4 linked regions of the Stegostoma tigrinum genome follow. The protein of the gene in region 1 purifies or fractionates together with the protein of each later gene. This does not show direct contact. Links are inferred from orthologs where the notes say so. Each region holds a gene or a part of one and is shown in the gene's direction. Other genes may lie near its edges.

Region 1 (7,622 bases):
ATGAAAAAGATCAACTTATTCCTCCTCTCTGCTTCCTATTAGACAGCTAATCTTCTGTTCATGCCATAACCTTTGTTGTGGCACCTTATCAAATGTCTGCTGGAAATCTAAGTACAATACATCGCCTGGTTCCCTTTTATCTGCAGCATAAATTGCATCTTTGAAGTACTCCAATAAATTAGTTAAATATGATTTCTCTTTGACAAAAATGTGTTAGAATGAAAGTTATAGTTTCCAGTCCAGTTCTGAAGAATTATTGTATTGAACTCAAGATTTTACCTGTTTCTCCCACCACGGATGTTACCACAACCACTGAGTTTCTCCAGCATTTTCTGATTTTATAAGAGATGCCTACAGCTGGCATGTGGTTCTGATTGGATCTTCGCTGTGTAGATTTTGCTATCACCAACCCTCCTTGTAATGCAGATGTATAGGATTTATTACAGTTAGTAATGCAGGTTTAAACATGAGTAAATCTTCAGCCGAACCCGCAATGTACTTGTGCAATGAGGAAGTTTATTACACAATCATAAGATGCTAGATTACATTAGCTAAGACTAGTAAACTTTGTGACAACGTAAGTAAGACTGTATCAGTTGCAACACAGTAACTAGGTCTATGCTACATGACTGTGGTTTGTAGAACTGACTAATTACAAACTGGAACAATTAACTAACTTATCCCAAAGACAGTCATTTATATCATTGGGTGGCGTCTTTCTTTTTCAAAACTTTCGAGCTAACCCTCTCAGGACAAATGCCCTAATAAAATTCTATACCATTTTTAACAAACAGAACTTGCATTTACATCTGCTTTTGCAGTCACCAGATGTCTCAAACTGCTTTACAATCAGTGAAGTTGTTTCTGAAATATCGTAATGAAAATGCAGTGGCTGATATTTGCTTAGTGATCTCTCTCAAACAGCAATTTGATAAAGACCAGAATTTGTTTTCAGTGCTCACAGAGGTATAAATATTGACCACCCAACCAGGATTATTCCTACTTTTTCTCAAAATAATTTCTTCTACATCCTTCCATCCTTTTCCATCAATAATGAACGGTTCCGCTTCAGAATGCTCAGTATCATTCATGACTCAAGTACTGAAGCAGTCTATTTCCACGTGCAGCATGACCTGGCCGTTATCCAGACTTGAGTATGTAACATTTTTTTCCACACAAGTGCCAAGCATTGACCATCTCAAAACAAGGCAAGGAAATCAAATCGTTGAGTGTTGGTAATTTAAATAACTGGGGACAATGTCCTACACAGTTACAATTGGCCAGAAATTGAACTGCAAAAGCAATTGTTACGATGTGGAGACAAGTCTGAACCAAATCAGTCTTTCCAACTCTATTCACCAGACAGTAAAATTTAACCGTTCGAAATACCCGGACAGATAGTGCAATGGCTCTTAACCAGATTTTTGAATAAAAAATCTCTGACTTTGTGAATAATTAATTCCAGACACCAGTTTTATATCTTAAAATGTACAATAATTTGTGATTAAAAAAGTCATCTAATTGATGTATAAGCTTTTACCCTGAAACATTTGTTCATAGCCTACATCCACACTAAAGGCAGACAGATAAACCAATAGTTAATGGATAAAGAAAATAATGAAACTGTCCTGATGACTTAAATGTTTGATAGTGTTGTTTCATGGACATAAATATGGACTGCCTAGCTGTTTTTTTGGGAACACCGATCATAGCTACCTTTTCAGTTCACTCAGTTAAAGGTAGCTCAGCTTTCTACTCTTTCAGCTTCCATAGTGTGTGGGGGGGGGTTAGTCTGGGAGCTTTCAAATCTTCATTCTGTGTCACTAGCTGCCAAACCCATCTCCCCAGAAAATACATTTTTTAAAAAAATCTTCAACTTTGCCCTGAGAGAATGCCCAACTTTTCCTGAAACCTCAATTACTATTCAGCATCTGCTATCTGCTTGAATACATCATCACTTCCCAGGTACTGAGCAGGTTAATAGCCAAGTTCTGCTATCTGTTTAAACACAATGCTCCTTCTGGGGTCTTTGTGGTGGTAGGAACCCTTTTAATCAAAAGTTATCCTTCAGTTAGTCTCTAGGCCTAACCTCTCAAACAAACAAATCTTAGTAGGTTTGTTCTTTTTCTCTTACCCACAAGCTGTTCCACAAAGGCCACTAGTCATCTTCAGCTCAAAATTTCCAGTTCACAGCTCCAAAGCAAAATTGAGAACAGAACCAACGTAAAACTTATGAATAATCAAGAAGTGCTGGAATACAATATAAATATTGTGGCTACAAGAACAGGTCAGAGGCCAGGAATTCTGCAGTGAATCACTCACTTCCTGTCTCATCAGTAACCTCTTTCCACCGTCTCCAAGTCACAAGTCTAGAGTGTGATAGAATACTCTTCTCTGCTTCACCACAGTTCCAGTATCACTTGAGAAGCTTGACACCATAGAGAACAAAGCAGTCCACTTCACTGGAACCCCATCCATCATGTACAACACTCACCCACCTCACTGCTGATGCAGTGTCAGCAGTGTGCATCTACAAGATGCAGCGCAGTAACTCATCAAATTTCCTTAACAGTACCTTAATCGTAGTTTACTCATCATAATGGACCAAACAGTATAAAATCCAAGCGGACTAGAATAACACCACTTCCTCGGAGGCTCCACTGATAACGTCACCTAGCATGCTGATGAAATGTCTGAACGAGAACAGGCCAGCTCGGCAAGCAAGTTAACAACCTCACCCATCAGAGCTACAGATCTTCGCCAAAAACTTTGCTCTTGCAATGATCCTAACTTGGAACAATATTGTCATTCCTTCACTGTCACTGGGTCATCAACTGATATTCCCTTCTTAACAGTTGTGTGTAACCCCCCTACACCTCAGGAACAGCAAGTTCAAGAAAGCTACTCACCACACTTTCTCTAGGGTAATCTGGGATGAGAAATAAATGCCACCCTAGCCAGTGACACCCATATTCCATCAAGGAATTTAAAAATTCCATCTGAACAGGTAGAAAATCAGTTTTAACATCTCATTCTATGACTGCACCTTCAATACTGAAGCACTCCCTCAGTATTTGGCCCTGGAATATGGGCCTTGATTTTTGTACTCAAGCCCCCAAGTGGAACTAAGTTTTGAAATTTTATGCTTTGGAGGTGGGTGGGCCATCATAGAGGCACTGCTGACCATGATCATCATTAAGATCTCCCTTGTAACATTGCTTGATTCTGGTCCACGTGAGCTCATCTGTTGCTGTTCTGGCCCACCTCTCTTTCCTCTTTTAAGAGACATGTTTAAAAAAAAGTAAAATACTGCAGTTACAGAAAATTTGAAATAAACACAAAAAAATTTTGATATATTCAACAGGCTTCCAGGGAAAGAGATAACATTTCATCAAACCAGGAAAATTCAAAAAGTAAGAAAAGCAAATAAAGGGATAACAGAAAAATAAAACAAATATTTAGATAAGCCTTTGAAATTATACACCGAAATTGTTGAGGTATTTTCATACTGGAAAGGGCCCAATGGAAAGATTCAGTCACACAGCACAGAAACAGATCTTTCACTCTAACTCGTCCATTCTGACCAGTTTTCCCAAACTAAACTAGTTCCATTTGCCTGAATTTGGCTCATTTCCGGACAAACAGGCCCCCTAAACTTTTGCCATTCATGAACCTGTCCAAATGCATTTTAAATGTTGTAATTGTACCCTCCTCTACCACTTACCCCTCAGTTCATTCCCTATATGCAACATACTCCAAGATTAGACTCCTTGAGCTACGTTGGAACAGCAGGAGGCTCATAGACGGTAACACATCACAAGATGGAGATTGAAAATGACTAATGATTGCTAATTTGGTCTCATATGCTTGTGAACTGAACGAAATGTTCCACAAGATTATTTAACCTCGTTCGATTTCCGAGTGTACAAAATTAGAATTGACACAGGCAATCCTATTTCGTCTAAATGGATGGCCTTGGATACTGTTTAAGGGAGATTAGGTAAAAGGGCAAGCGTTTGATCTCCCTGTTTACTTGAAAGACGGGAGGAAAGGGGAAGAGGACGTTTTGGAATGGTCCGCAGGGCAGTTGAAAGGGGAAGATGTGTTACAGCCATGTAACGTTTAATGTGAAAATTTGGGGGAAGACGGAAAAGGAAGCGTGTGTGGCTCTCTGTAGGAAGGGAAAGAGCGGAAATGTGGAAAATATATGGGAGATAGTGGTACAAGAACCCCATTTTCTTGGCCAATTTTTTTTGTTTATCTGAATTAATAGTACTTTCCATGATTGTGCACAATTTCGTTTCATAATATTACTGTGATGCTTTTTCACTTTGCTGAATTAAAAGCGCTCTATAAATGAAAGCAGTTGTTGATTCAGTAGCACCTCACGCCTTCATCCGAGATTGTCTTTGACCAAACCAACTGGTTGGAGGTGGGGGTGGATGTAGGAAGCTGGAGAACAAAACAAAGTTGAGGTAAAACCTAATAAATCTTGGTGTTAGTATTTTAAAATTACAGTAGAAGTACATTACTGAAATGTAAATGATTTCCGGCCTTTACAGCAATTGGTAGTTTGTAAAATGTAAGGAAGGTGTGGAGACTTCTTTTCCCCCGCTTCCTGTGGAAGTTGCTGTCTTTGGGGAAAGGGGGTGACGCCATTTTGTTGTCCCGGATCCCGGGTCGGAGGCCAGCGGCGGTTCGTGGAACCCGGCAGCTGGCTTACGGTGAGTGGCGCCCGGGTTTGATGGCGGGGAAGCGGGTGAGGGATGGCGGAGAGTGGGGTTTGGTGACCGCCGATGATTCCCCCTCCTTTGAGGTGACGGTCTCCGGACTCGTTGCAGACTGTGCGTGATATGGTTGTCAGAGCTTCCGCACAGCGCACTTTGTCACGAGTCACTCATGGTTTCAGGGAATGGCTACCCTTCCAGCACCAACTGTAGAAGTTTAAAATTTTGAGGTTTGGACCTCGAGGGAAGAAATCAGGTTTTGTTTTCGAGTCCAATTTGACTCTTAACAGTCAAATTGGACTCGGACTCGGAACGTGAACTAGGTACCTCCACCACCACCTTTTAACCGTTTCTATTTGTTTTCAGTATACGCAGTCTTTTGTTTGAAGAACACAAGTTTAATTTTGGTAATGCGTGCTAACATAAAATATTCTAATCGGAAACCTCTTTATAAATTAATGTGCTCATGATCATAATGAAAATTCATAATCGTCGCACTCGTTCCTCACCTACTTGTGATGACTTTAAACCAACCATTGGCATTATTATTATGGTAGAATACAGAGAAAATTAGGACTGAATTATATTTAGAGATAATGGGAACTGCAGATGCTGGAGAATTCCAGGATAATAAAATGTGAGGCTGGGTGAACACAGCAGGCCAAGCAGCATCTCAGGAGCACAAAAGCTGACGTTTCGGGCCTAGACCCTTCATCAGAGAGGGGGATGGGGAGAGGGGACTGGAATAAATAGGGAGAGAGGGGGAGGCGGACCGAAGATGGAGAGAAAAGAAGATAGGTGGAGAGAGTATAGGTAGGGAGGGGATAGGTCAGTCCAGGGAAGACGGACAGGTCAAGGAGGTGGGATGAGATTAGTAGGTAGATGGGGGTGCGGCTTGGGGTGGGAGGAAGGGATGGGTGAGAGGAAGAACCGGTTAGGGTGCAGAGACAGGTTGGACTGGTTTTGGGATACAGTGGGGGGAAGAGCTGGGCTGGTTGTGTGGTGCAGTGGGTGGAGGGGGCGAACTGGGCTGGTTTAGGGATGCAGTTGGGGAAGGGGAGATTTTGAAACTGGTGAAGTCCACATTGATACCATTAGGCTGCAGGGTTCCCAGGTGGAATATGAGTTGCTGTTCCTGCAACCTTCGGGTGGCATCATTGTGGCAGTGCAGGAGGCCCATGATGGACATGCCATCTAAAGAATGGGAGGGGGAGTGGAAATGGTTTGCGACTGGGAGGTGCAGTTGTTTGTTGCGAACTGAGCGGTGGTGTTCTGCAAAGCGGTCCCCAAGCCTCCGCTTGGTTTCCCCAATGTAGAGGAAGCCGCACCGGGTACAGTGGATGCAGTATACCACATTGGCAGATGTGCAGGTGAACCTCTGCTTAATGTGGAATGTCATCTTGGGGCCTGGGATAGGGGTGAGGGAGGAGGTGTGGGGGCAAGTGTAGCATTTCCTGCAGTTGCAGGGGAAGGTGCCGGGTGTGGTGGGGTTGGAGGGCAGTGTGGAGCGAACAAGGGAGTCACGGAGAGAGTGGTCTCTCTGGAAAGCAGACAGGGGAGGGGATGGAAAAATGTCTTGGGTGGTGGGGTCGGATTGTAAATGGCGGAAGTGTCGGAGGATGATGCGTTGTATCCGGAGGTTGGTAGGGTGGTGTGTGAGAACGAGGGGGATCCTCTTTGGGCGGTTGTGGCGGGGGCGGGGTGTGAGGGATGTGTAGCGGGAAATACGGGAGACGCGGTCAAGGGCGTTCTCGATCACTGTGGGGGGGAAAGTTGCGGTCCTTGAAGAACTTGGACATCTGGGATGTGCGGGAGTGGAATGTCTTATCGTGGGAGCAGAGGCGGAGGAATTGGGAATAGGGGATCTAATTTTTGCAGGAGGGTGGGTGGGGGGGAGGAGGTGTATTCTAGGTAGCTGTGGGAGTCGGTGGGCTTGAAATGGACATCAGTTCCAAGCTGGTTGCCTGAGACGGAGACTGAGAGGTCCAGAAAGGTGAGGGATGTGCTGGAGATGGCCCAGGTGAACTGAAAGTTGGGGTGGAAGGTGTTGGTGAAGTGGATGAACTGTTCGAGCTCCTCTGGGGAGCAAGAGGCGGCGCCGATACAGTCATCAATGTACCGGAGGAAGAGGTGGGGTTTGGGGCCTGTGTAGGTGCGGAAGAGGGACTGTTCCACGTAACCCTCAAAGAGGCAGGCATAGCTGGGGCCCATGCGGGTGCCCATGGCCACCCCCTTAGTCTGTAGGAAGTGGGAGGAGTCAAAAGAGAAGTTGTTGAGTGTGAGGACGAGTTCAGCTAGGCGGATGAGGGTGTCGGTGGAGGGGGACTGGTCAGGCCTGCGGGACAGGAAGAAGCGGAGGGCCTTGAGGCCATCTGCATGCGGAATGCAGGTGTATAGGGACTGGACGTCCATGGTGAAGATGAGGTGTTGGGGGCCAGGGAATTGGAAGTCCTGGAGGAGGTGGAGGGCGTGGGTGGTGTCACGGACGTAGGTGGGGAGTTCCTGGACCAAAGGGGAGAAAATGGAGTCCAGATAGGTGGAGATGAGTTCGGTGGGGCAGGAGCAGGCTGAGACGATGGGTCGACCAGGGAAGGCAGGTTTGTGGATTTTGGGAAGGAGATAGAAACGGGCCGAGCGGGTTTGGGGAATAATAAGTTTGGAGGCTGTGGGTGGGAGGTCCCCTGAGGTGATGAGGTCATGAATGGACCATTTCCACTCCCGCTCCCATTCTTTAGATGACATATCCATCATGGGCCTCCTGCAGTGCCACAGTGATGCCACCCGAACGTTGCAGGAACAGCAACTCATATTCCGCCTGGGAACCCCGCAGCCTAATGGTATCAATGTGGACTTCACCAGCTTCAAAATCTCCCCTTCCCCAACTGCATCCCTAAA
Region 2 (7,733 bases), on another chromosome or scaffold:
TAAAATTGAGATTGTGAATCATTACTTCCACCATGAGCATGTGGGTGAATACACACTGTAGAACTAAACATCAAGTCGGATGGAGGCAATTTATATAGATCATGGTTGATCAGCAACATGACCACCATCTATGCACCATGGTTCCAAAGACGGCCTTCATATCCTCCGATGGCACTGAGCATGGTGACGAAACGTCTGAACGAGAACCAAAATCTGAACTCCATTTTAAAATTTGTAATTGACCTTAACCTAATAATTTGTCTGGCCTTCCATACAAGGATGTAGAATAAGGTAGGTACACTATGCAGGCTCCAAGTCCACTACAACATTAATTATGGCTGATCTGCTTCTATTCCGAATTCCACATTCCTATCTACGCCCAATTATCTTTGATAAAAAAGACAACCTGTGAGAAGTGATTTCAATCAGCTTCCCTGAATAGCCTAGCTGTTATAGATTCTTGTACAGCAAACTATTGGGGATTGAAGACAGCCAAGTCCACAGGGCCTGAGATAACAAGGTGTAGAGCTGGATGAACAGAGCAGCCTTCCTGCTCATCTGATGCTGCTTGGCCTGCTGTGTTCATCCAGCTCTACACCTTGTTATCTCAGATTCTCCAGCATCTGCAGTTCCTACTATATCCTCCACAGGGACTGATGGCCTATATCCTAAGGTCTTAAATGAAGTGGCAGCAGAAACAGTGGATCCATTGTTTATAATATTCCAAAATTCCCTGAATGCAGGAAAGGTTCCAGTGGGTTGTAAAATGCAAATATAATGCCCTTGTTTGAAAAGGGAGACAGGCAGAAAGTAGGAAACTATAAACCAGTTGATTAAACATGTGCCATTTGGAACTGGTTACAATCCATTCATTAATAACAGGATATTTTAAAAATGAATAACATTTGGGACGTCAAAATGCACTCAAGAGTCAGCATGATTTTATTTAGCGTAAATTCTGTTTGACTAATTTGCTAGAGTTCTTTGTTGATGTAACAAGCAAGATAGATAATAGGAATTTATAAGTGTAGAATATCTGGGACTTCCAGAAGGCATTGATAAGGCGCTGCACAAAAGGTTAATCCATGAGATAGGATCACATGAGGCTGAGTAATTTATTAGCTTGGATAGAGGATTGGCTAACCAACATAGCATACGGTGCTGAGGAACAGTCACTGACCCAAAATGGTAATTCTGATTTCTCTTCATAGATGTTGCCAGACCTGCTAAGTTTTTCCTGCAATCTCTATTTTTGTTTCTGATTTACAGTACCTGCAGTTTTTCCACATTTTATTCAGAGGATACATCAGACTTTTTCTGATTTGCAGATGTCTCTAGTGGTATGCACAGATTTTGATCCTTAGGACACAACTATTTACAATCTATATTTGTGACTTAGGTGCAGGGAAACAAAGTACTAGAATGAAATTTGTAGATAACACTAAAAGTGGGAAATATGTTGCAATGAAGTAATAAGAATTTTACAAGTGGAAATCGATAGGTTACATTATGGGTCAAAATTAAGCAGATGAAGTTTAACATGGATAAAAAAGATTACCTATTTTGATTAAAGAAATAGGAAAGCAATTTATCTAAACAGAGAGAGAAACTTCAGAGTGCAGAGGGATCCAAGTGTACTTCTGCAAGAATCCGAGAAAATGAAGATACATGTACCACTGGCGATAAGAAAGGCAAATGGAATTTTGACTTTTGTTACTAAGGAAGTAGAAGAAAAAGTAAAATGTTTGCTGCAACTGTACAAGGTTAGCGAGATAGCACCTGGAGTATTGTATTCAATTTTGGTCCTTTTACATGAGGAGTGATGTAGTTGCATTGGAGGCAGTTCAGAAGAGGTTCACTACATCAATTCTGGGATGAAGTGTTTGTACTATGAAGACAACTTCATCTAAAGTCCAGAGTATATGCCCATAGAACTGCCTACTCACCTCATCTGTCAACTACTGATGTTTTCAAAAAAACTGAGAACATCTTAGTTGGACCTAAGAAAGACAGATCGCTATTTTCTCACTGTTCAGAAAAGGAAAGTGTGGATGAGGAGAAAGAGATTTATGGATGTAAGGATTGGAATGAGGTCAGCCAGCTGGACTGCATGCTTTCCTGGAACTTCCCTGTTTCCTCGCTGGACTTTTGAACACCTTTGAAAATGAGATGGTCACATTGATTGCTTTCCACCATACTCCAAATCTCTTTAAAAATTTCTCAATTTTTGGATGTCATCAGACTCATGTTCACAGTTTCCATTTCCTTTTACCACCTCTTTGGTCTTTCTGTAGATGATAGTCAGCCAGTAAGAGGTAATTGTAAGAAAAGAATACCAGCTTGATGTTAGTGGATCTGGCCATCCATGTGACACAAATGGAAAGTTTATCCTGCAATGGACAGATTCATCTGGCCTTGACCAGATGTATCCAAGCTGCATTCCATCTCCAAGGTTGAAGATGTGCTGCATAAGGCAGCATCTTTTACTGTTTCCATTAGTAGCATGGAGGTGGCTTCAGGACTTTTACATTCAAATAGGATGCCACTTGTTCTACATTGAACCAAGTGCAATGGAGAATCATCCTGAAAAGATATATAGTAATGATTCCAAACACTTCCACATTATGCACACATGTAAATTAAGGATTCACAAATGGCACACCCACAACATACGTACCTGGGGAGAATACAGGATAGGAATCCTTCAATTCGCTGCCCATCTTCTCACTAAGTATTTGTTCTACATTACAATAATTCTAAATTTCAAAAAGTACTTAGTTAATTATAAGGCATTTTGGGGCATTCTGAAGTAATGAAAGAGAATTAAAGCGTGCATATTATGTAGTACTATTCACAAACTTAATGTTCTACAAATTAAATTACCACTTGGAGAGTGGTTGCCATTGTAACATAGTAAAGTTAATAAATAAATTGAATTGTTTCTTTCAGATTTCCATCCTTAATGTAACATACAAAAGCAGTGATGTGATATGAATATCAGAAATATTATTTTTGAAAAATCCCTGAAAAATTATGTATTACTTTGAGTGAGCTCCAACTTTAGCTAGATTGAATTTAAATACAACTTGCCTGAATCTTTGCTTCTGATACATACAGCCTCTCAGCATTTTTAAAGCTATATTAAAAAAAAACCCCTCTACCAAGGATCATCCAAGGAATATTCAATATAATGCACTATTGAAACGATCTGCACAACTGTTGCCAGACAAAACTACTTTTTTGTTTTCACCAAACCCATTATATATTGCTACATCAAGGCTGATAATGAGATCAACATATAAAAACCAAAAGACCTGCGGATGCTGTAAGTCAGGAACAAAACCAGAAGCTGCTGGAAAAGCTCAGTTCTCAGTCCTCAGAACACCGGACCCGAAACGTTAAACTTTGTTTTTGTTCAATCAATATACGTGTTTAATATGCTGTAGTTACACAGTCTTTCTACTATGTGTCTTTACACCCAGTCTGCCACAATTTTCAAGAATGTATCGGCTTTTCGTTAAATCACCCTGAATTGCTGTGGTTGTATTTTCAATGCCAACGGGTACTCTTAACAGCATTCCACCGAAATGGTGATCGCACCGAAGATAAAATGCAGTGATAATGGGAACTGCAGATGCTGGAGAATCCAAGATAACAAAGTGTGGAGCTGGATGAACACAGCAGGCCAAGCAGCATCTCAGGAGCACAAAAGCTGACGTTTCGGGCTCTCTGATGAAGGAAAAATGCACATGCATTATGGGTTTACATCAACAATTATCACTAAATACAGTTAGAGATTTATAAACTAATAAGAAGCTACAGATACAAAAAGTTTTAATAAAGTAAATGAAGTACGAAAACTCCCCTCAAATATCTGTATGAGTGGTCTTAAAACACTTGGGTCCCCCAAAATCTTAAGTTAAACAAAACGCTCAGGTTGGCATCAGTTATATACAACGATCTCCTGGAAGGAACATGGATAATTGCCCAAACTGAACGTGCAGTTCAGAAAGCCTAATACTTATCAACTTTGAAACGTGTCAAGAAATCATTGGTTTACAGATTAGAGATGGATGTTAGGGACTATTATGTCTCGGATAGCAATTCCAAACGTTAAAAATAAAGGGATAACAACTTTGAATGAATAGCAACCTCAGGCTACCTGCAGAGCCAAGTAAAACATTTAAAAGCTCACGCCTAATTTCAATTTACTAAAAGAGATGAAACTGAATGGCGAAGAAACTCAACAAACGTGAACTTCGGGCGATAGAAGTAAAGTTAACCTTCGAAGTCCGGTAAGGCTGACTCTTTGTTTCAGAACTGTGTTGGCTTACATTCATTTAAAAAAATACTTTTCGACAATATGTCGAAGAAAGTTGAGGCAATTTCAGTGATATTTCTATCTGGTTGTCAACACGTGACCATACTAATACTTACTTCAGTAAGATTGAACCGTATCACTCCTAACTTCCAAATAGCCGGGTTTAAACAATTTGATTGACAAACGAACCAGGTTTTCGTGAATCGCCTCTTTCACGACTGGAAGGAAACGCCGTAACAAGATTTCATCGTAGGCCGCTACCCTTTGGGCCAATAGGAATTGTCGATGACCGCAAAGTGTATAACTGACGTTCGTCGTAACCAATGCACTTGAAGAAGTCGTGGAGGCGCGGGTGTGATGGATAAACAGATTATCCAATGGAAGAGGAGGGGGTGGTGCTTCGCTTGCTGGCGGCGCGCGGGGTTGACTTTGTTTGATTTTAACGGATTTTTTTTCCGCCTCTGCGCTTGGCCTGGGCTTTTCCCCTTTCTCAGCTCGAGTCCCGGAAAGACATCAGTGCTGCCGGCACTCTCACCCCGTACCGAGTACGGGGCTCAGACAGAGTGAGTGTGAACTTGTCGAATAAGAAAAATAATATGAGAACTCGACGTGAACTGGGAAACAGGCCCAGGCCATGCGGCACAGGGGCCTATGCTTCTCGAAGTTAGGCCTCGGCTTTGGAGAGATTGGTCACCCCCAGACAGAGGCACTGTTGGCTAGAAGGGTGAAGAGATGGAGTGATGGACGGAAGACCGGGAGTTTTATTATGCCTATTATGAGGAAAATGCGATGGAGACTAGTGGGCTTTCTAGTGGTAGGGAAAAGGAAATCCTAACTCGAGATCGGGGATGTAAACCGGTGGTGTAGGCCCTTTTAAAAAAGAGCGACGGTTGTAAGATGGAAACAGAAGAGGAGGGTGGAGGTCCCCGGTGGATGGGATTTTAGTGTCCTGGCGGCTTCAGCCCACAGAGGGAAAAGGGTGGATGGTGGAATGGGGCCAATGCATTTGTTAGAACAATGCGCTTTGCGCCCGGGCTTTTGTACCCAACAACCTCCAATCACTTCATTGAACAAAGCCCCTTTAAGCACGTATTAATAGCAAAAATAAGTCTTTCAACCGAACGGAAATGTTATATTTATGACCTCAATGTTAGCAATATCTTCTCAAAAACGCTTATTAAACATTTGCCTAAAACCCACACGTCCATTACATAAACTTAAATTTCCAAATGACTGACTTCCCTCTTCGTCCCAGAAATTTTTTTTCAGCAGTTCTTTATTCACCAAATTTCGGGTAAATTATCAATTGATTGCAAATGCGTTGCACACGAATGAATATGTAGATACGGTTGACTTACCAAGTGAAGGTAGTTAAAGCATGCTATGTCTGTTTCTGAGATAACAAGGTGCAGAGCTGGATGAACACAGCAGGCCAAGCAGCATCAGAGGAGCAGGAAGGCTGACGTTTCGGGCCTAGTCCCTTCTTCAGAAATTTCTAGGCCCGAAACCTCAGCCTTCCTGCTCCTCTGATGCTGCTTGGCCTGCTGTGTTTATCCAGCTCTCCACCTTGTTCTCCAGCATCTGCAGTTCCTACTATCTCTATGCCTGTTTCTTGTTCTTTTTAAGGTTTCATCTTTATTTGCAGCTACCCACATTAGCAAATCTGAATGACAATAACACAGTTAATCACATTTGTTCTTCCCAGGAGTCCGTTTTTTTTAATATATAGGGCTGCTTTGAAATGTTGAAGATTCACCAGCTGTATGACACCACTCTTTCCATTGTCTAGCTCAGATTGCCTGATTCAATAATATCATTGATCTAGATTCGTGTTTACTTCGACTCGGATCCATTGGGTTCAACTCATTCATGCCAGCGAGATTGCCTAAACTGATCTAGTCCCATTTGCCAGCATTTAGCCCATATCGCTCTAAGCCTTTCATATTCATGTACCCATCTGGATGCCTTTAAAATACTGTGATTGTACCAGCCTCCACCACTTCTTCTGGCACCTCATCCCATACATGTACCACCCTTTGCATGAAAAAACTGTCCCTCAGGTCCCTTTTATATCTTTCCCCTCCTATCTTAAACCTATGCTGTCTGGTTTTGGACTCCATTTTGCAGTTTCCTAAAAACTGAAAGCATCAAAGATATTAAAGTTGGTGTTTGTAACTCAGCGCATTTCTAAACAACTTCTCCAGAGGATGATAATACAAAACAATTATTATAAAGAACAATGTGTTCAACAAGAGCTTTTTTCAAAATATAACAAGGTTCTATAAACTGAAATGGCAGTATTGGCTAAAGTAGTGGTTGAGTGTAGAATTCAAAATACAGTTGTTGGAAAAGCTCAGAGATAATGGGAACTGCAGATGCTGGAGAATCCAAGATAACAGTGTGAAGCTGGATGAGCACAGCAGGCCAAGCAGCACCTCAGCACCACAAAAGCTGACGTTTCAGGCCTAGATTGAAACGTCAGCTTTTGTGCTCTGAGGTGCTGCTTGCCCTGCTGTGTTCATCCAGCTTCACACTTTATGTTGGAATAGCTCAGCAGGTCTGGCAGCATCTGTGAAGGAAAAAATCAGACTTAACATTTCTGATCTAGTGACCCTTCTCAGAACGCTGTAGAATGTTGATCAATCGCTGGTGCGCCTTACTGAATTGCTTAATATTTGTTTTATTTAATTTTATTTCTGGCAAAGACAATGCATGGCAATGCTTGTGATTAAATAACATACCACACAGCACCAAGACATTTTTGCGAGGGGTCTTGAGTAAAACCATGTTGGAGTGGTAAAGTATAATTTCTGATTGTGGGCCTACTCTTTGATGCATTTGGAGGCTTTTAAATTATGTAGATTATTAATACCAAAGTTGGTTGTATTTTTAAAGGCGTGGAGAGTGCAATCAATTTGCACTTGTACAGTTCCACCTTGAAAATATTAAAGATGATTTATGGGGCAGAAAGAAGTAGTACAATAATATAAAGAGAATGTAGCATCAATGCTAAGAGTTTGGAGTGTGTCAATAAGTGGTAATGATTAAAATAAAATGGAGTATCAGGACAAAGATTTGAAGTGCAGTCTGTTGTAAACATGTTACCATTCTAGATCAGAGAAGGCAGTAGTGGTATGTGTTTGGAGTCCAGGGACGTTCAGGTGATATTTGATCGTGTTTCGCTATTGAAGTGTGGTGTAAGTGTGAGCTTCCAAGAACGGTATTAGAGTGTTTTTCACTTGAATAGTACATAATCAATGGGTTATTACATAAGGTAGCAATTTGCAGCTCCTGTCTGCTCTGGCTGTCCAAATGAGCATGCAGTTGGTGCTGTTATGCTGCTTTTTTTTCCCATAATCCTGCATATTGATCTTTTTCGAACGTTTAATTAAAGTTGCCTCCAGCATATTCT
Region 3 (7,609 bases), on another chromosome or scaffold:
CCTGGTCCATACTTCCTTCACCCCCAACACCTCCCCACAGCCCTACGGCACCTTCTCCTGTAACTGGTGAAGGTGCAACACCTGCCCATTTACCTCCTCCCTCCCCAGTATCCAAGGGCCCAAACATACCTCCCAGGTGAAAAAACACTTCACCTGCACTTCCCAGAATTTAGTCTACTGCACTCGCTGCTGACAATGTGGTCTCCTCTACATTGGGGGAACGACGCGCAGACTTGGCGACCGCTTCGCAGAACATCTACATTCTGCTCGCGAAAAAAAACCCTGAACTACCTGTTGCCTGCCACTTTAATGCACCACCCTGCTCCCTGGCCAACATCCCTGTCTCCGGCTTGCTGCAGTGTTCCAACAAAGCCCAGCGCAAGCTGGAAGAACAACACCTCATTTTCCGCTTGGGGACCCTGCAGCCCTCCGGACTCAATACTGAGTTCAATAATTTCAGGGCCTAAACTCTCCCATGTTCCAACCCCCCCACCCCACACACCAGGCCTTGTTACCACACAGCCCGCCACTGCACACCCCCTGTTGTTAGTCACTAACAGTCCCCATTAACAACTACTCACCCTCCCAGCCAGATCGTTAGCAACTCCTTTGCCTGTCCAACTGTCTTTTTCTCTCTCCTTGGGCTCTGTCCTGTCGTTTACTCCCTACCCCACCCACCCACCTCCCTGGTTTCTGTATATAAACTGACATTTTCCCAGTTACCATCAGTTCTGAGGAAGGGTCACCGGACCCGAAATGTTAACTCTGTTTTCTCCTTCACAGGTGCTGCCAGACCTGCTGAGCTTTTCCAGCAACTTTTGTCTTTGTTCCTGATTTACAGCATCCGCAGTTCTTTCAGTTTTAAAATGTGAGGTGAACTTGATTAGGCCACTATTGGAATACTGCATGCAGTTCTGGTCTCCTTGCTATAGGAAAGATGTTGTGAAACTCGAAAGGGTTTGGAAAAGATTGATGAGGATGTTGCCGGGGTTGGAGGGTTTGAGCTACAGTTTGATGCTGAAGAGGCTGGATAAAAACCAAAAGAACTGCGGATACTGTAACTCAGGAACAAAAATAAAGTTGTTGGAAAATCTCAGCAGGTCTGGCAGCACCTGTGAAGGAGAAAACAGAGTTAACATTTCGGGTCCGGTGACCTGATGCTGCCAGACCTGCTGAGCTTTTCCAGCAACTTTGTTTTTATTCCTGAACAGGCTGGGGCTATTTTCCCCGGAGCGTCAGAGATTGAGGGGTGACCTTGTAGAGGTTTATAAAATCATGAGGTGTATCGATAGAATGAATTGCCAAGGTATTTTTCCAGGGTGGGGGAGTGTTGGAGAGAAACACGAGACCAGTGACAAAGACTCAGGAGGCAGGCACAAGGCAGTCTTTATTCTTGTTCAACCAACAACTGGTTAATGCAGGGAGAGGGCCAAGGACTTCCCTGAATCTGGCCTCAGTGTGTGAGAACCCAGTTGTTCTCTTAATCTTTGGCTCAAATCGGAAGAACGATCAATTTCATATTCCAGTGCTCACAGTGAGATAACAGAATTTTGGACATTTTGTGTTATAATAATCATATACAACATTGTTACTGTGTCCCTCCCCTTATTCTATACATTCAATCCTGTGAACCACCTAATCAATGATGGACATTCCTGTTGACAGCCCTAAGATCCCATGGGTCTCATGATGTTTAACAGACATTATAATCTCCAGGCCTTGGGATCTTTCTATTCATTCTATTAATTCACGTTCCAAAGTTACTAGCTATACTCCTTCGAATACATCCCAGACTTGCTTATCTCTAAGGACTGCTTGAATTCTGTTGCCCCTTGTATTCCTTTGCTATCTCCATCAAAATCTGTTACCCACCTTATATTTTCCCATTGTCCTAATTATATAAAAACAAAATACAGAAGACAGTTGGTTCTAACTAACTGCCTTAAGATTTGGAAAATTAATTTCTAATATATAGTTGGTTTAGTGTAAAATTTTATAGCTACCTCTGCTGTGAGCACTCTTTCGCTAATAAGTTGCAAGCAGTTTATTTCATACAGGACATGATGTTGTATACTTGTGCTGATAATTACGTTGGAATCTATCTGTGTGATCATCTGAAGAATCTTTAACTAGAACCTATTTCTTAATATTGTAACAATTTTAAGAAAATAAAACTAATTACTGCTAAATAACTTTCGCTGTTGTTTTCACAGCTGTGTGATGAATTAGGTTGACTGTTTTATGGGCTGAGATTTAGTGTCCTTATTCTGACTGATTCTTTCCTCCTAATGGGATGACATCCTTTCATTAACAAGGCTGGAATCAGTCACTTTTTACAGTTTAATGAACTTGTTTAATGCTACAGTTTTTTACAACCTGCAGTCTCAACGAGTTCATCTGTGTTTGTTACAAATTTTCAAGCTTGCGGCCCTTGACCACCCTCTTATTGAGCTGACCCTGATTGCTGCCTGTACGGGGCCTCCTCCCAACCCCCAAACCCCCTTTCACCTTGGAGTAACCCCTTTTCAAAGGCACCATAGTTTCACTTAAATGCTGGAGCAGGCATTTAATTCTGTTTATCCCCTTATCGGTCATTTTGTGTCTTTCAAATATGAGCAGCCGTGACAGTTAGCCTAAAACTGGAAGTCATAAGTTTAAAGTGAGAGGGGAAGAATGCAAAGGGTGACAACATTTTCACACAGAGGGTGGTGCGTGTATGGAACAAGCTGCCAGAGGAAGGGGTGGAGGCTGGTACAATTACAACATTTAAAAAGCATCTGGATTGGATACATGAAAAGGAGGGGTTTAGAGGGATATGGGCCCAATGCTGGCAAATGGGACTGGATTAATTAAGGATACTGGTTGGCACAGACTAGTTGGACCAAGGGGTCTATTTCCGTGCCATACAACTCTATGGCTCTTTGAGATAGATTTCTGATCACCAGTGGCATACTAGACTGGGTAAATTAACAATGATTGTATTGAACAGTGGGCCAACAAGCTGATTGACCTGCTTCTGTTCCTGTAGATATTTTTGATTTATTTTCCATAAAATGATATAAAGCCAATTTCAATAAAACAAAGAACGGTGGATGCTGGAGATCTGAAACAAAACACTGGTGGAGAAGCTTAGCAGGCCTGGGGATAAGAGTGAATGATTTTGCATCCATTATGACTCTTCGGAACAAAAATACATTTATCCTGTTTCTAGGATAAATCCCCTCACACTAACTCCACCCCCCCTCCACTCCTTCCCCCTAAACACAACCCCGACTCTGTTACTCATAACCCCACCGCCTGCCTTCCCGTAGCTCTATGCTCATTCCCTTCCCCTAATTTTTTGGAACAAACACAGAAGTTGCTGGAAAAGCTCAGCAAGTCTGACAGCATCTGTGAAGAAAGAAAAATCAGAGTTAACATTTTGGGTATGGTGACCCTTCCTCAGAACTGTTCTGATCTGAGGAAGAGTCATTGGACCCGAAACATTAACTTTGAATTTTTTCTTCACAGATGCTTTTCTAGTAAGTTCTGTTTTTATTCCTGATTTACAGCATCCATAGTCCTTGAGGACCCTTTTTTTTGGATTTGATTGCCCTGGGGGCCCCCTTCCTGCAGGAGGACTACTTTTTGGAGCTCATTCAGTTTTACTGACACCAATTTAACATTAATTTATTCAGTACTTTAACCATTTATACACTTTATTCTGTAATTCACCGGAACCTGGCAACATCATCCACTTTTCACCCTACCTGGGTACAAGTGACAATGTTAAATACGTCTGTGAGATAATAGATTCAAGTGCTCACAATCACAAAGTCTTGGAAACAAGTTACTTGCACTTTATTACGAGTCTGCAGAATCGGGTGCCTCCCATTGCCTGAGACACACACAGGTCAGGGAGTCGCCTCTTTTTATACATCATTTTATCCATCTATGTCCTCCACTTTCGGCTCTGTCCAATCTGAGCTCCAAGGTGCACAATCTTCCCATGTCGTCCCTTGTCCCACCCTCATCATACATTGCATGTTATGTTAATTAAGCAGTCTCGTAAGCATGGGTGTGAAAGTTAATATGCATTGTCTTATTAAGCATGCGCTTCAACTATGTCTATGGTGCAAAGCAAAACTTAGCAGTTTGGGTCCAGTTCATTCTGGTTTCTAACTGCTTGGCCTTCACTCCCTTATCTTATCACTCAGCTCAGTACCAGATGTCTTTGTTTAAAGCTGCAGTTAACTCATCCCTGTCTCTCACACGTCCAACCTAACCCCATCAGCAGCATAGACACATCTCTTCTCCTAACTCCACTTCCGGGTCCCCAAGCCCCGCCCCAAAGCGCTTGAAGCCAGCCCCGCCCCGCCTCCCTGTGACGTCAGGGAGCACCAAGCGACGCCAGTGATCTGGTGGACGCGCACGCGCGGTCGTTGCGGCGCCGTGGAGCGCGCACGCGCGTCGGACCGATTGTCCGTGGGTGAGGCGCCATCGCACATTCCTGTCAGAGCGGGCGGTCACACACAGACACACTACCGGGGGCGGGGTGTCCGTTAGAGCCTTAATCCCACAGAGCGACCAACACAAAACGGAGCCAACCAGCAGGACATCCCACGGTATCTTCTTTCTGCCTCCCCGCCCCCCCGCTCGGGTGTCATCCCCTGAGGAGCTCGGAGGGGAGAAACGGAGATTACTGACCGGATCCAGAGGAGGGAGACGAACGGGACATGTCGGAGGACGGGCGGCACTACAGCGGTAAGGAACGAGGCGGTTTAACGGACAAAGGTTCGACGCGTCTGACAGACAGACAGACAGACAGGCCGGGGGTGGTGGGGGTGGGGGAGAAGGTGGAGGCCTGGCGTTAGGCCTTAGAGTACAGGGTTGCACTTTGTATCCCATCGCCCCCCCCACCCCCCCAAACACCAAACCTGCCCCATCACCCCCCCCCACACACACCAAACCTTCCCCATCACCCCCCAAAACATACCAAACCTTTCCCATCACCCCCCAAAACATACCAAACCTTTCCCATCACCCCCCAAAACATACCAAACCTTCCCCATCACCCCCCAAAACATACCAAACCTTTCCCATCACCCCCCAAAACATACCAAACCTGCCCCATCACTCCCCCCACACACACCAAACCTTCCCCATCACCCCCCAAAACATACCAAACCTTCCCCATCACCCCCCAAAACATACCAAACCTTCCCCATCACCCCCCCAAAACACCAAACCTTCCCCATCACCCCCCCAAAACACCAAACCTTCCCCATCACCCCCCCCCAAAACACCAAACCTTCCCCATCACCCCCCCAAACATACCAAACCCCCCCCATCACCCCCCAAACACCAAACCTTCCCCATCACCCCCCCCCAAAACATACCAAACCTTCCCCATCACCCCCCCCAAAACATACCAAACCTTCCCCATCACCCCCCCAAAACATCAAACCTTCCCCATCACCCCCCCCAAAACACCAAACCTTCCCCATCACCCCCCCAAAACACCAAACCTTCCCCATCACCCCCCAAAACATACCAAACCTTCCCCATCACCCCCCAAAACATACCAAACCTTCCCCATCACCCCCACACACACACCGAACCCTCACCGCCCCCCCAAACGCTCCGAACCCTCACCGCCCCACCCCCCCAGATGCACCGAACCCTCACCGCCCCACCCCCCCAGATGCACTGAACCCTCACCGCCCCACCCCCCCAGATGCACTGAACCCTCACCGCCCCCCCCCCAACCGCTCCAAACCCTCACCGCCCCCCCCAGATGCACTGTACCCTCACCGCCCCCCCCAAACGCTCCGAACCCTCACCGCCCCCCCCGATGCACCGAACCCTCACCGCCCCCCCAACACACCGAACCCTCACCGCGCCCCCCCCCACAAACGCACCGAACCTTCACCACCCTCCTCCCCCCCCACCATCCCCTGCGCTTCTCTTCCCCTGCCCCCCAAGCCCACGCTTTTCTACTACCCCCCACCACCATGCTGGCTCTTCTATTCCCGCCCCCTTCCACACCCTGTTTTGTCTCCCCATTGCCCCCACCCACATATCTTCTCCCCCCTCCCCCCCCCACACACTCCCTCTGTGTTCTGCAAAATCCTCCTCCCCCATGGTCTGCTACCCCACCCCCGCCCCCGCCCCCACGGTCTGTTCCCCAACCCCTGTGGTCTGCCACCACTCTTCTCCTGCATTCCGCCACCCCTCCCTCTTGTGCCTCTGACTCCGCTCCCCTCGCTTTTTGCTCCCTTGGCCGCCCACTCACAGCACTTGTCTTCCCACCCCACAACCCCTTGCACGCACTCCCCCATCCCGTCCCTTGCTGTGACCCCTCTTCCCCCAACCTGCTTGACGACTCACTGGCCTAGAATCTTAGTTGCATTCTAAGATGTCAGTGACTTAACAGCTGTGCAATCGTGTCAATATTCACTACTAAATTTTGGTGTGTAACTTACACTAATTTCATGTGGTGAAATTTTTCAACTGCTACTGTTGGCTCAACAGTAGAGATATCAGGCAATGTCTGAGGACATTGTCAGGAAGCTGTAAAGCATGGCAGAGTGCATGAAGGTTGCTCTTGTGATCTTTGTGCTTTGTCAGAGATTGTAGGTGTTACCACCTCCATCAGTGAGCTTGTGGTCTTGCAGATTTCAGTGGTACTGATTAGCAGCCTGACTTGTGTTGTTGGATAGTATTGAGTCTTCTGAATGTTGGTGCTTCACCTATCACCTCTAGTTCTGCAGTGTTCTGAATTTGAGCCCTTTCAGTTCTGGTCTCTTGATCACCCCTGATTTCCATGGTGCACCATTGTTCATCACGCCTTCAGATGCGTGGGTCCTAAGCTCTGTAATTCCTTCCTTCCCTCTTCTGTCATCCAAGTTCATTCTCAACTCTTAGGCCAAGGTTTTGGGTCATCTGCTTAAATATCTCCTCATACAGGCTGGCATCACCTGAATTTTTCTGACACACTCTGTCACACAGCACCTTATGTTTTTATAATGTAAAAGGCCCCATAGAATTAAGTTCTGGTTGAAAAGACGAAAAGAAAAGCCCGTCCAAATGCAGTCAAATACTTCCCAAAGCAAGATCTGTCTGATTGACATCTTGCACCAGCAAATGCATAATTAAACCTGAGGAGAGAGTGAAGGAGCTTCATTCTAAGATTGAGATAACAAAGTATAGAGCTGGATAAACACAGTAGGCCAAGCAGCATCAGAGGAGCAGGAAAGCTGACGTTTCGGGTCTAGGCCCTTCAGAAATCTTCAGAAACTGGCCTAGAATCAACTAGACCGGAAACGTCAGCTTTCCTGCTCCTCGGATGCTGCTTGGCCAGCTGTGTTCATCCAGCTCTACTCCTTGTTATCTCGGATTCTCCAGCATCGGCAGTTCCTGCTATCTCTGTAACCATTCTAAGATTGATCTTTTGAAGATTGAACTTTCCTGGAAATTCCCACAGTTCTCCTCAGTGTCTGCTATCACCCATACACTTACACTGAAACCATATACATTAAAAGAATGCTGTTCACTGAAGTTCAGTACCTCCTGCAATTTACTTAAACTTCTGAAGTTGGCAGGATTTCAGAATTCTGACTTGGGTCCC
Region 4 (7,725 bases), on another chromosome or scaffold:
CAGTTTCAATGTGAACCAATCCCCCCGCGATACAGATGTGGTCACTCCTGACCAACTAAACCATTGTTTTATTGATATTTCCCAAGATTTTTTTAAGGCAGAGCAGGCTTAAGAAGTTCAGTGAGTTATCCATGCTCCTTTTTCTCTTACCTCTTTCCATTCAAACTGTCCGAATGAGAGTCTACCCAAAAGGTGAAAGGCACAAGTTAAATCAGAAATTTTAGTAAATACTCAGTAGGTCTTGGGTCCTTTTAATTTCCTCTCTAACTTCTTCACATTCAGATTGTTGCTGTTCTCCATCCTGCTACTCACACCTCTTCAGGGCACATGTTATCTGCCCTAGTTTCATGCCCTTTGGCCTTGGACCTCCAACTCTTTAGTTAATGAGTCTCTCCTACATTCACACGATCACAGACCTCTCATTGACCCCCACGCTTCACCTCCCAAACCACTGTCATCTATCTCTTGCTGAAAACCCATTCCTCCGGCTCCACACTGTGTTGTCTCCAGCATCTGGACTTCTCGCTATCTCTGACTTTCCTAGCTTTTCGCAGTTCTGATGAAAGGTCATTGTCTCAAAATATTAACATTAACTCTCTTCACAGATGAGATCAGTCATGCTGAGTGTTTCCTGCGGTCGTTTCAGATTTCGAACATTCACCTCCACTGGCAGGATATATCTACAGCTACACTCCTGTGCCTGTCAAATGTGACCTTCATTAGGAAAGAGAGAAACAGACTGCTCAGAGGAATACCCGACGATGCTAAACCCAAGCAGGAGTCTGCCACTTGTGATTGTTTGCCACCCCCCCCCCCCCGTATGGGGAATGGGAGCCAAGTGAAGAATTCAGATGGATGGGATGAAGTGATGTGAAAAATTGTTACCAAGAATTTATAAATTGTATCATTTTTGACACAAGTGAGGGCGTCCTTTGTTATGATTTTTCTGTCCATTTCCTGCAGAAATAGGTAAAGCCACCACGGTCCCACTGTCTCATTAGAGAGAGATGATTGTGAGCAGTTGGGGAGGGGGGCACGGTGGCAGTGTTTAACTTGTGGGCCACCGTGCCACAGAACAGGGGCAAGATTGGGAAGGTGAGGAGCTGGATGAACACAGCAGGCCAAGCAGCATCTTGGGAGCAGGAAAGCTGTCGTTTCAGGCCTAGACCCTTCATCAGAATGGGGGAGTAGGAGAGGGTTCTGAAATAAATAGGGAGAGAGGGGGAGGCGGATAGAAGATGGATAGAGGAGAATATAGGTGAACAGGAGACAGGCAAGTTAAAGAGGCGGGGATGGAGCCAGCAAAGGTGAGTGCAGGTGGGGAGTTAGGGAGGGGATAGGTCAGCCCAGGGAGGATGGACAGGTCAAGGGGGCAGGATGAGGTTAGTAGGTAGGAAATGGGGGTGCGGCGACAGGTCAAGTGGGCCCCCATTTCCTACCTTCCTACCAACCAACCTCATCTCGTCCCCTTGACCTGTCCGTCCTCCCTGGACTGACCTATCCCCTCCTTACCTCCCCACCTACATTCACCTTTACTGGCTCCATCCCTGCCTCTTTAACTTGCCTGTCTCCTGTCCACCTATCTTCTCCTCTATCCATCTTCTATCCGCCTCCCCCTCTCTCCCTATTTATTTCAGAATACCTTTCCCCTCCCCCATTTCTGATGAAGGGTCTAGGCCCAAAACATCGGTCTTCCTGCTCCTCTGACGCTGCTTGGCCTGCTGTGTTCATCCAGCTCTACACCTTGTTATCTCAGATTCTCCAGCATCTGCAGTTCCTACTGTCTCTGATACAAGGTTGGGAAGGTAGCACTTTCAATGTAACTTCAGTCAGTGCAAGAACTAAACCCGCTTTGTTAACATCACACTGTAATGTAAACCGGCTGTCCAACTGATGGAGCTAACCAACCTCCCTGACCCTCTCCATTGAAATAGAAACTACTGTAAAAGCTTTTCATTTATCATTCGTTCTCAGGTCGCAGATGAATGGTGTCAAGGTTGACGTGTGTTTTCCAGACCTTATTGTCCTTGAGAACAGGGTGCGGTCAGGTTTGGGAGGAGCCACTGCAGTCTTTTACGGCCTAAGGTACCCTCTATGAGCTGTTAGAGACAGATTGTCAGAATTTTGACCCAGTGACAATGAAAGAACATTCGATGTGTTCTGTCCACGTCAGGAGAAACACAAAAACAATTCAGAGACAGTAGGAACTGCTGATGCTGAAGAATCTGAGATAACAAGGTGTAGAGCTGGCCCAGCAGCATTAGAGGAGCAGGAAGGGTAATGTTTCAGGCCTAGACCTTTCTTCAGAAATGCCCAAAACGTCAGCCTTCCTGCTCTTCTGATGCTGCTTGGCCTGCTGTGTTCATCCAGCTCCACACCTTGTGAACACAAAAACAGTGGTGTTTGCACAAAATGTTCCCACTCATGAAGCGAATGAGAACAAGAGGGCAGGATGCAAATTTGAAGTGGTTTGTAAAAGTGATAAGAAGCAAACCATTTTCACACAATGTGTGCCTGGGCTTTGGAATTCATTGCCTGTGGCAGGCAAGTTCAATCAAAGTACTCACAAGTAATTAGGACTTATATTTGTGAAGGAACAACCAGTAGGGTTCGAGGGAGAAGGTAGGAGGATGGCACTTATTGAGTTGCCAATTTGGAGCGGTGGCACGGAAATGGTGGATCAAATAGTCTCCCTCTGCTCTGTAATAATTCTATAACTGTATAGTTCCATGAACATTGATAATTTTGCCCCTCAGGGTGGAGTTAGAGGTCACAGAAAGAGTGGTGCTATGGAAGTTACCCTGAGGAGTTGCAGCAGTTAGTCAGCAGCTGGCCATCCTGTCTCCATCAGAAAGCCGCACATCCACATTTATAATCTTTGCTCCTCTCTCATCCTGTGGTTCCCTGCAACCCTCTGGGAGTGTTGCTTTCCTCCAATGCCACAGTTCCTGAAGTGTCATCTGTCTGTCATTGGCAGTCAGCTGCCTGGTCTGTAAGATCTGCGATTCCTCCCTAAACCTCTCTTCTTCTCTCTCTCTCCTCCTCGAAGACGTTCTTTCAAACACACATGGTTGTGGTGATGACCAAGTGCTACTGTCACTACACTATTAATCCAGAGGTCTCAGCGATATTTTTGGGACACAGGTTCATAAACACGCCTAGTGGCAGATGGTAGAATTTAAATTCAATAAAAATCTGGAATTATGATTCTAATGATGACGACTTTGAAATTGTTGCTGATTATTGGGGGAAATATAATCTGATCTTTTAGGGAGGAAATCTGCCATCCTTACATTGTCTGACCTACACATGACTTTGCACGCACAGCAATGTGTTTGACTGAACTTCCCTCTAGACACTTATCTGACAATGGCCCAGTTTGGTGACACCCAAATCCTGTAAATATTTACAGATAAGGCTTTGGTCATCTGCCTGAACATTACCTGATGTATCTTGGATACCAGGTCAGGTTTTTGCCTGTGACATTTTAGTGAATGAACTTCCTGAGGAAGTGGCGTGCACAGGTACAGTTACAATACTTAAAAGTCATTTGGTTGAGTACATGAACAGGAAAGGTTTGGAGGGATATGAGTCAAACGTAGGCAAATGGCACTCGTTTAGTTTGGGAACATAATTGGCATGGACTAGTTGGACGGAAGGGTCTGTTTCCTTGCTGTATGACTCTATATAATTGCAACCTTAGAGTGTAGTGTTGCAATGGTAGTGCCTCATCTTTGGGCCAGAAGTTCAGGGTTCAAGTCCCATCTGCTCTGGAGAATTCACAGCAAGCAAAGAATCTTAGCGTGCATCACAAGCAGTAAGTAACTGGAGATAGCACGGTGTGGAGCTGGATGAACACAAGCAGCATCTTAGGAGCAGCAAGGCTGACATTTCGAGCCTGGACCCTTCATCAGAAAAGGGGGAGGCGGAGAGGGTTCTGAAATAAATAGGGACAGAGGGGGAGGCGGATCGAAGATGGATAGAGGAGAAGATAGGTGGAGAGGAGACAGACAAATTAAAGAGGCGGGGATGGAGCCAATAGAGGTGAGTATGGGTGGGGAGGTAGGGAGGGGATAGGTCAGTCCGGGGAGGACGGACAGGTCAAGGGGGCGGGATGAGGTTAGTATGTAGGAGATGGGGGTGGGGCTTGACGTGGGAGGAGGGGATAGGTGGGAGGAAGAACTGGTTAGGGAGGCCAGGATTTGCTTCTGAACTCTGAGAAGCCTTCTCAATGCAAAGTAACTATGTAAACCAGTCACGCTGTAATTACACCTTCCGAACTGTAAAGGCGCTACAGGCTCTTCACCTGGAGAGGGATGGATTATAAACTGTCAGGTTGGCAGTAGGAGTTTCCATATGAATGTGAAAAGGTGAATTTACAATGACATAAAATGAGCAAACAGGCATGAGCTATTTAATTCGCTAGTTATGCTGGACCTTTGGAATTAAATAGAAACGGGGTCAGCTTGTTGGAATCCAAATTAAAATGATGACATTGTATTGTACACAATATTTTAATCGATAGAAACTGGAGGTATTTAATTTTATAATTACTGCTCTGAGCTTCAGAATAAGAAGTGGATGATGGCTCTGAGGCGAGCACACCATTCAGCGCAGAGGGAGGAGAGTGGGATCTGAGGGTGGTGAGGTCTCTCCCAGCCGCATAGCCAGCTAGCTCGCAGAACTCCGGCTGCCCAATGCAGTTTGTACACATTAAGCGGAGGAGCCTGGGTGCTTTCTGTGAGCTTCATCTCCAGGCCGCCGTGTTTCCCTGTGAAGCTCAGGTCTCCCCCGAGCTGAAATGGAAGTGCCGGTTGCTGGTGAATTTCACTGTCTCTCTCTCTCTCTCTCTCTGGCTTGTTATTTCTCTCTCTCCCTCTGTCCCCACCCCCAGTCAGCTTGTTCCTCTCCTTTATCTCATCTCTCACTCTCCCTCTCTCTTTGCCGTTTTTTAACTCCTGAATTTTCTTGTCTCTCTGGTGAGTAATTTTGCTGTCTGTGATGTTTTGAATTTTTTTCTTTTTTTAAAAAAAAGAGAATTTTTCTTTTGTTTTTTTTGCAATTCCTTTTTTAAAGAAAATGATGTGTAGAGACGGGTGTTTGGGGGGGGGGGGAATCAGTGAATGTGTTTATAAAAGAGTAGCTCTTGTCAGACATCAGTGTAAATATGTATGTGTTTTGTGAAAATGAATTTAGGCTCATTAACTGCAATGTTAAAAGAAATTCCACTGCCACACATCTGATTTTCTGTTCATCATGATCAGATGTCACAGGATTTTTAAAAGCTGTCCATTTTTTTCATTTGTCCGTTTTCTTAATGTATTTTTAATCAGTTCTATATTACTAACCCCAGCTCCCCCCTCCTTCTGAAGGCTTAATTACATCCCCACCTCCTGTCTAAACAATCTGTCACTTTGCAATTTGGTTTAAAAATACAATTTTTTTTATTATTTGGGATCTTGTGGTTTTTAGTCTTTTTTTAACCAACAAACCCCTTCTCCCCAAGAAAAAGTTTGTCACTTCTTCCTTGGTTGGCTGTGTTTTGCCAGCTGAATTCTCTCTCTCTTCTCTCTCATTCTTTTTTCTAAATGGTTGCTGTTACCCTATAACGGAGAGCGGGGTTTTGTGGAGAAGGTGATTTTTGTGGAGAGAGAGAGAGAGAGAGAGAGAGGTTTTTCATTGTAGCTCCCTGGTTTGATCTACCGCTTTGTATTTTCAACATGCAGAAAATAAAACTGTCCAAAAACTGACTACTGACTGTTAGCTAGCTAATTATTGCATTTTTAAAAACAAAACCTGAAGTGTTCAGCTGTTTAAAGTTATGAGTGGGAACAAAATATTTGGGGTGGAGTTCAAACAACTGGACAATAAGATTGCATTTTTCCACAGAGAAAGCTCCCTAGCATCATCCTCACTTCTGAAAACATGATTGTGTCTTGAAGACAAGAAATCTATTTCAAAATGTGAAAGGAACTTTCAAATGGGCACAGCCCCTGTGCAGGAAAAATATGTGGCAGTTTTTTTTCTTTAAAGGAATGTTTCTTGTTAAGAAGCACTTGACAGGCTTTGTAAATGGTATTGAAGTGTAAATTGTCAATGTGGAAAGGATAATCTCTCGCTCTTGCTCTCGTGCTCTCGCGCTCTCTCTCTCTCTCTCTCTCTCTCTGGAAGAAAGGTAACAGGTTTGACAGTGATAGGGCAAACATCTAGTAGAGCATTTCCCAACAGAGTGGAGCCTCCCCTCCAGGTCAGAATATCGGAAAACTGTCCCCAACTTTAGTTTCTGAAGGTGTCCTGATTTCTGGTAATGAACTGCTGAGTGATGGGGCTGTTTGCTGTTTGTTGCTACACGAGTCACCATGGCTGGGCCTACTGGGTTGCTGTTGCTACAGGCAACCATACTTAGGGTTCCATTCATACTGTACTAGCGGCTCCTGTGTAAAGCAGTCTGGTTTTGTGTAGACGCTATGACTGAGGCCCAAATCTGAGTTCCCCACCCACCATCTCAAACCCATCGTGGGGGTCCCACCCCAACACTAGAACTGACTGATGGACACCTCTCCGAGTAGCTCAGCTATAAGATCATGAGGCCATTAGACATGGGAACAAAAGTAGGCCAGTCAGCCTGATTCCCCTGCTCGATGAGATCACGGCTGATCTGATCATCCTCAACTCCACTTTGCTGGTTTATCTCCATAACCCTTGATTCCCTTACAGGTTTAAAAAAAATCTGTCTGTCTCAGCCTTGGATATACTCAGTGACCCAGTCTCTAACAGCCCTCTGTGGTAAAGAAATCCATTGATTCATTCTCTTTTTTTTTTCCTGAGAGAAGAAATTCCTTCTCATCTCTGTCATAAATGGGCACCCCCTCATTCTGAGATCATGCCTTCTGAGCCTAGACTCTCCCATAAGGTGAAAATCCTCTTCACATTTTTTCTGTCAGATCCCTAAGAGCCTTTGTGTTTCAATCAGATCGCTCTTCAGTCATCTAAACTCTGAGTACAGGCCCAGTCTATTTAACTTCTCCTCATGAGACAGTCCTTCTATGCCTGAGATTAGCCTACTGAACCTTCTCCGGATTGCCTCCAGTGGCAACATATCTTTCTACAGATCAGGGGCCCCAAACTGTGCATAGTATTCCAGTTGTCGCCTGACTTGTGCCTTGTTTAGTTTCAACAAAATCTCCCTGCTTTTATATATTCCATTCCGTTTGCTTTCCCTATTACCTGCTGAATTTGGATTGCTTTTTTTTTGATTTCGTTCGTGGGATGAGGGCATCGCTGACCAGGCAGCATTGCCCATCCCTAATTGCCCCGAGGGCAGCTTAGAGCCAACCATATTGTAGGCCAGACCAGGTAAGGATGGCAGTTTCCTTCCCCAAAAGGTATTAGTGAACTGGATGGGTTATTCTGACAATGGATTCATGGTCATCACTAGATTCATAATTTCACATATTTAGTTGATTTCAAATTCCACCATCCGCTGTGGTGGGATTCAAACCTGTGTCCCCAGAACATTATCTGGATTAACAATCCAGTGATAATGCCACTAGGCCATTGCCTCGCTTTTGCTTGTAATGATTAATGCCCTGGAATGTTTGAAATTGGGATCTTGATGCCTTTGACAGTTTTAGAGTCAACTTGAGTAAAATTTGGAGTCTGGCCCAGGATTGTGGGGTAGACGTGTTTCTGTGGTTACTATGACCCAGAGATAAATTAAGACTG

What was found.
Region 2: the proteins of dhx9 (region 1) and ELAV-like protein 1 purify together in Homo sapiens (affinity purification with mass spectrometry; 3 studies listed by BioGRID and IntAct, with this or other methods). This does not show direct contact. The link is inferred for Stegostoma tigrinum from reciprocal best matches to the Homo sapiens genes DHX9 and ELAVL1.
Region 3: the proteins of dhx9 (region 1) and nuclear RNA export factor 1 purify together in Homo sapiens (co-immunoprecipitation; 4 studies listed by BioGRID and IntAct, with this or other methods). This does not show direct contact. The link is inferred for Stegostoma tigrinum from reciprocal best matches to the Homo sapiens genes DHX9 and NXF1.
Region 4: the proteins of dhx9 (region 1) and raly purify together in Homo sapiens (affinity purification with mass spectrometry; 3 studies listed by BioGRID and IntAct, with this or other methods). This does not show direct contact. The link is inferred for Stegostoma tigrinum from reciprocal best matches to the Homo sapiens genes DHX9 and RALY.

What each region holds. Positions count from the first base shown.
Region 1 is NC_081361.1:44,889,255-44,896,876, forward strand, and holds the start of dhx9 (ATP-dependent RNA helicase A), read left to right. Parts: upstream 1-4,613; 5' UTR 4,614-4,724; intron 4,725-7,622. UniProt on the Homo sapiens protein: Multifunctional ATP-dependent nucleic acid helicase that unwinds DNA and RNA in a 3' to 5' direction and that plays important roles in many processes, such as DNA replication, transcriptional activation, post-transcriptional RNA regulation, mRNA translation and RNA-mediated gene silencing.
Region 2 is NC_081383.1:36,221,480-36,229,212, reverse strand, and holds the start of ELAV-like protein 1, read left to right. Parts: upstream 1-4,725; 5' UTR 4,726-4,884; intron 4,885-7,733. UniProt on the Homo sapiens protein: RNA-binding protein that binds to the 3'-UTR region of mRNAs and increases their stability.
Region 3 is NC_081395.1:11,825,379-11,832,987, reverse strand, and holds the start of nuclear RNA export factor 1, read left to right. Parts: upstream 1-4,601; 5' UTR 4,602-4,715; coding exon 4,716-4,743; intron 4,744-7,609.
Region 4 is NC_081372.1:7,063,139-7,070,863, reverse strand, and holds the start of raly (RNA-binding protein Raly), read left to right. Parts: upstream 1-4,717; 5' UTR 4,718-4,801; coding exon of another isoform or gene 4,802-4,979; intron 4,980-7,725. UniProt on the Homo sapiens protein: RNA-binding protein that acts as a transcriptional cofactor for cholesterol biosynthetic genes in the liver. Binds the lipid-responsive non-coding RNA LeXis and is required for LeXis-mediated effect on cholesterogenesis.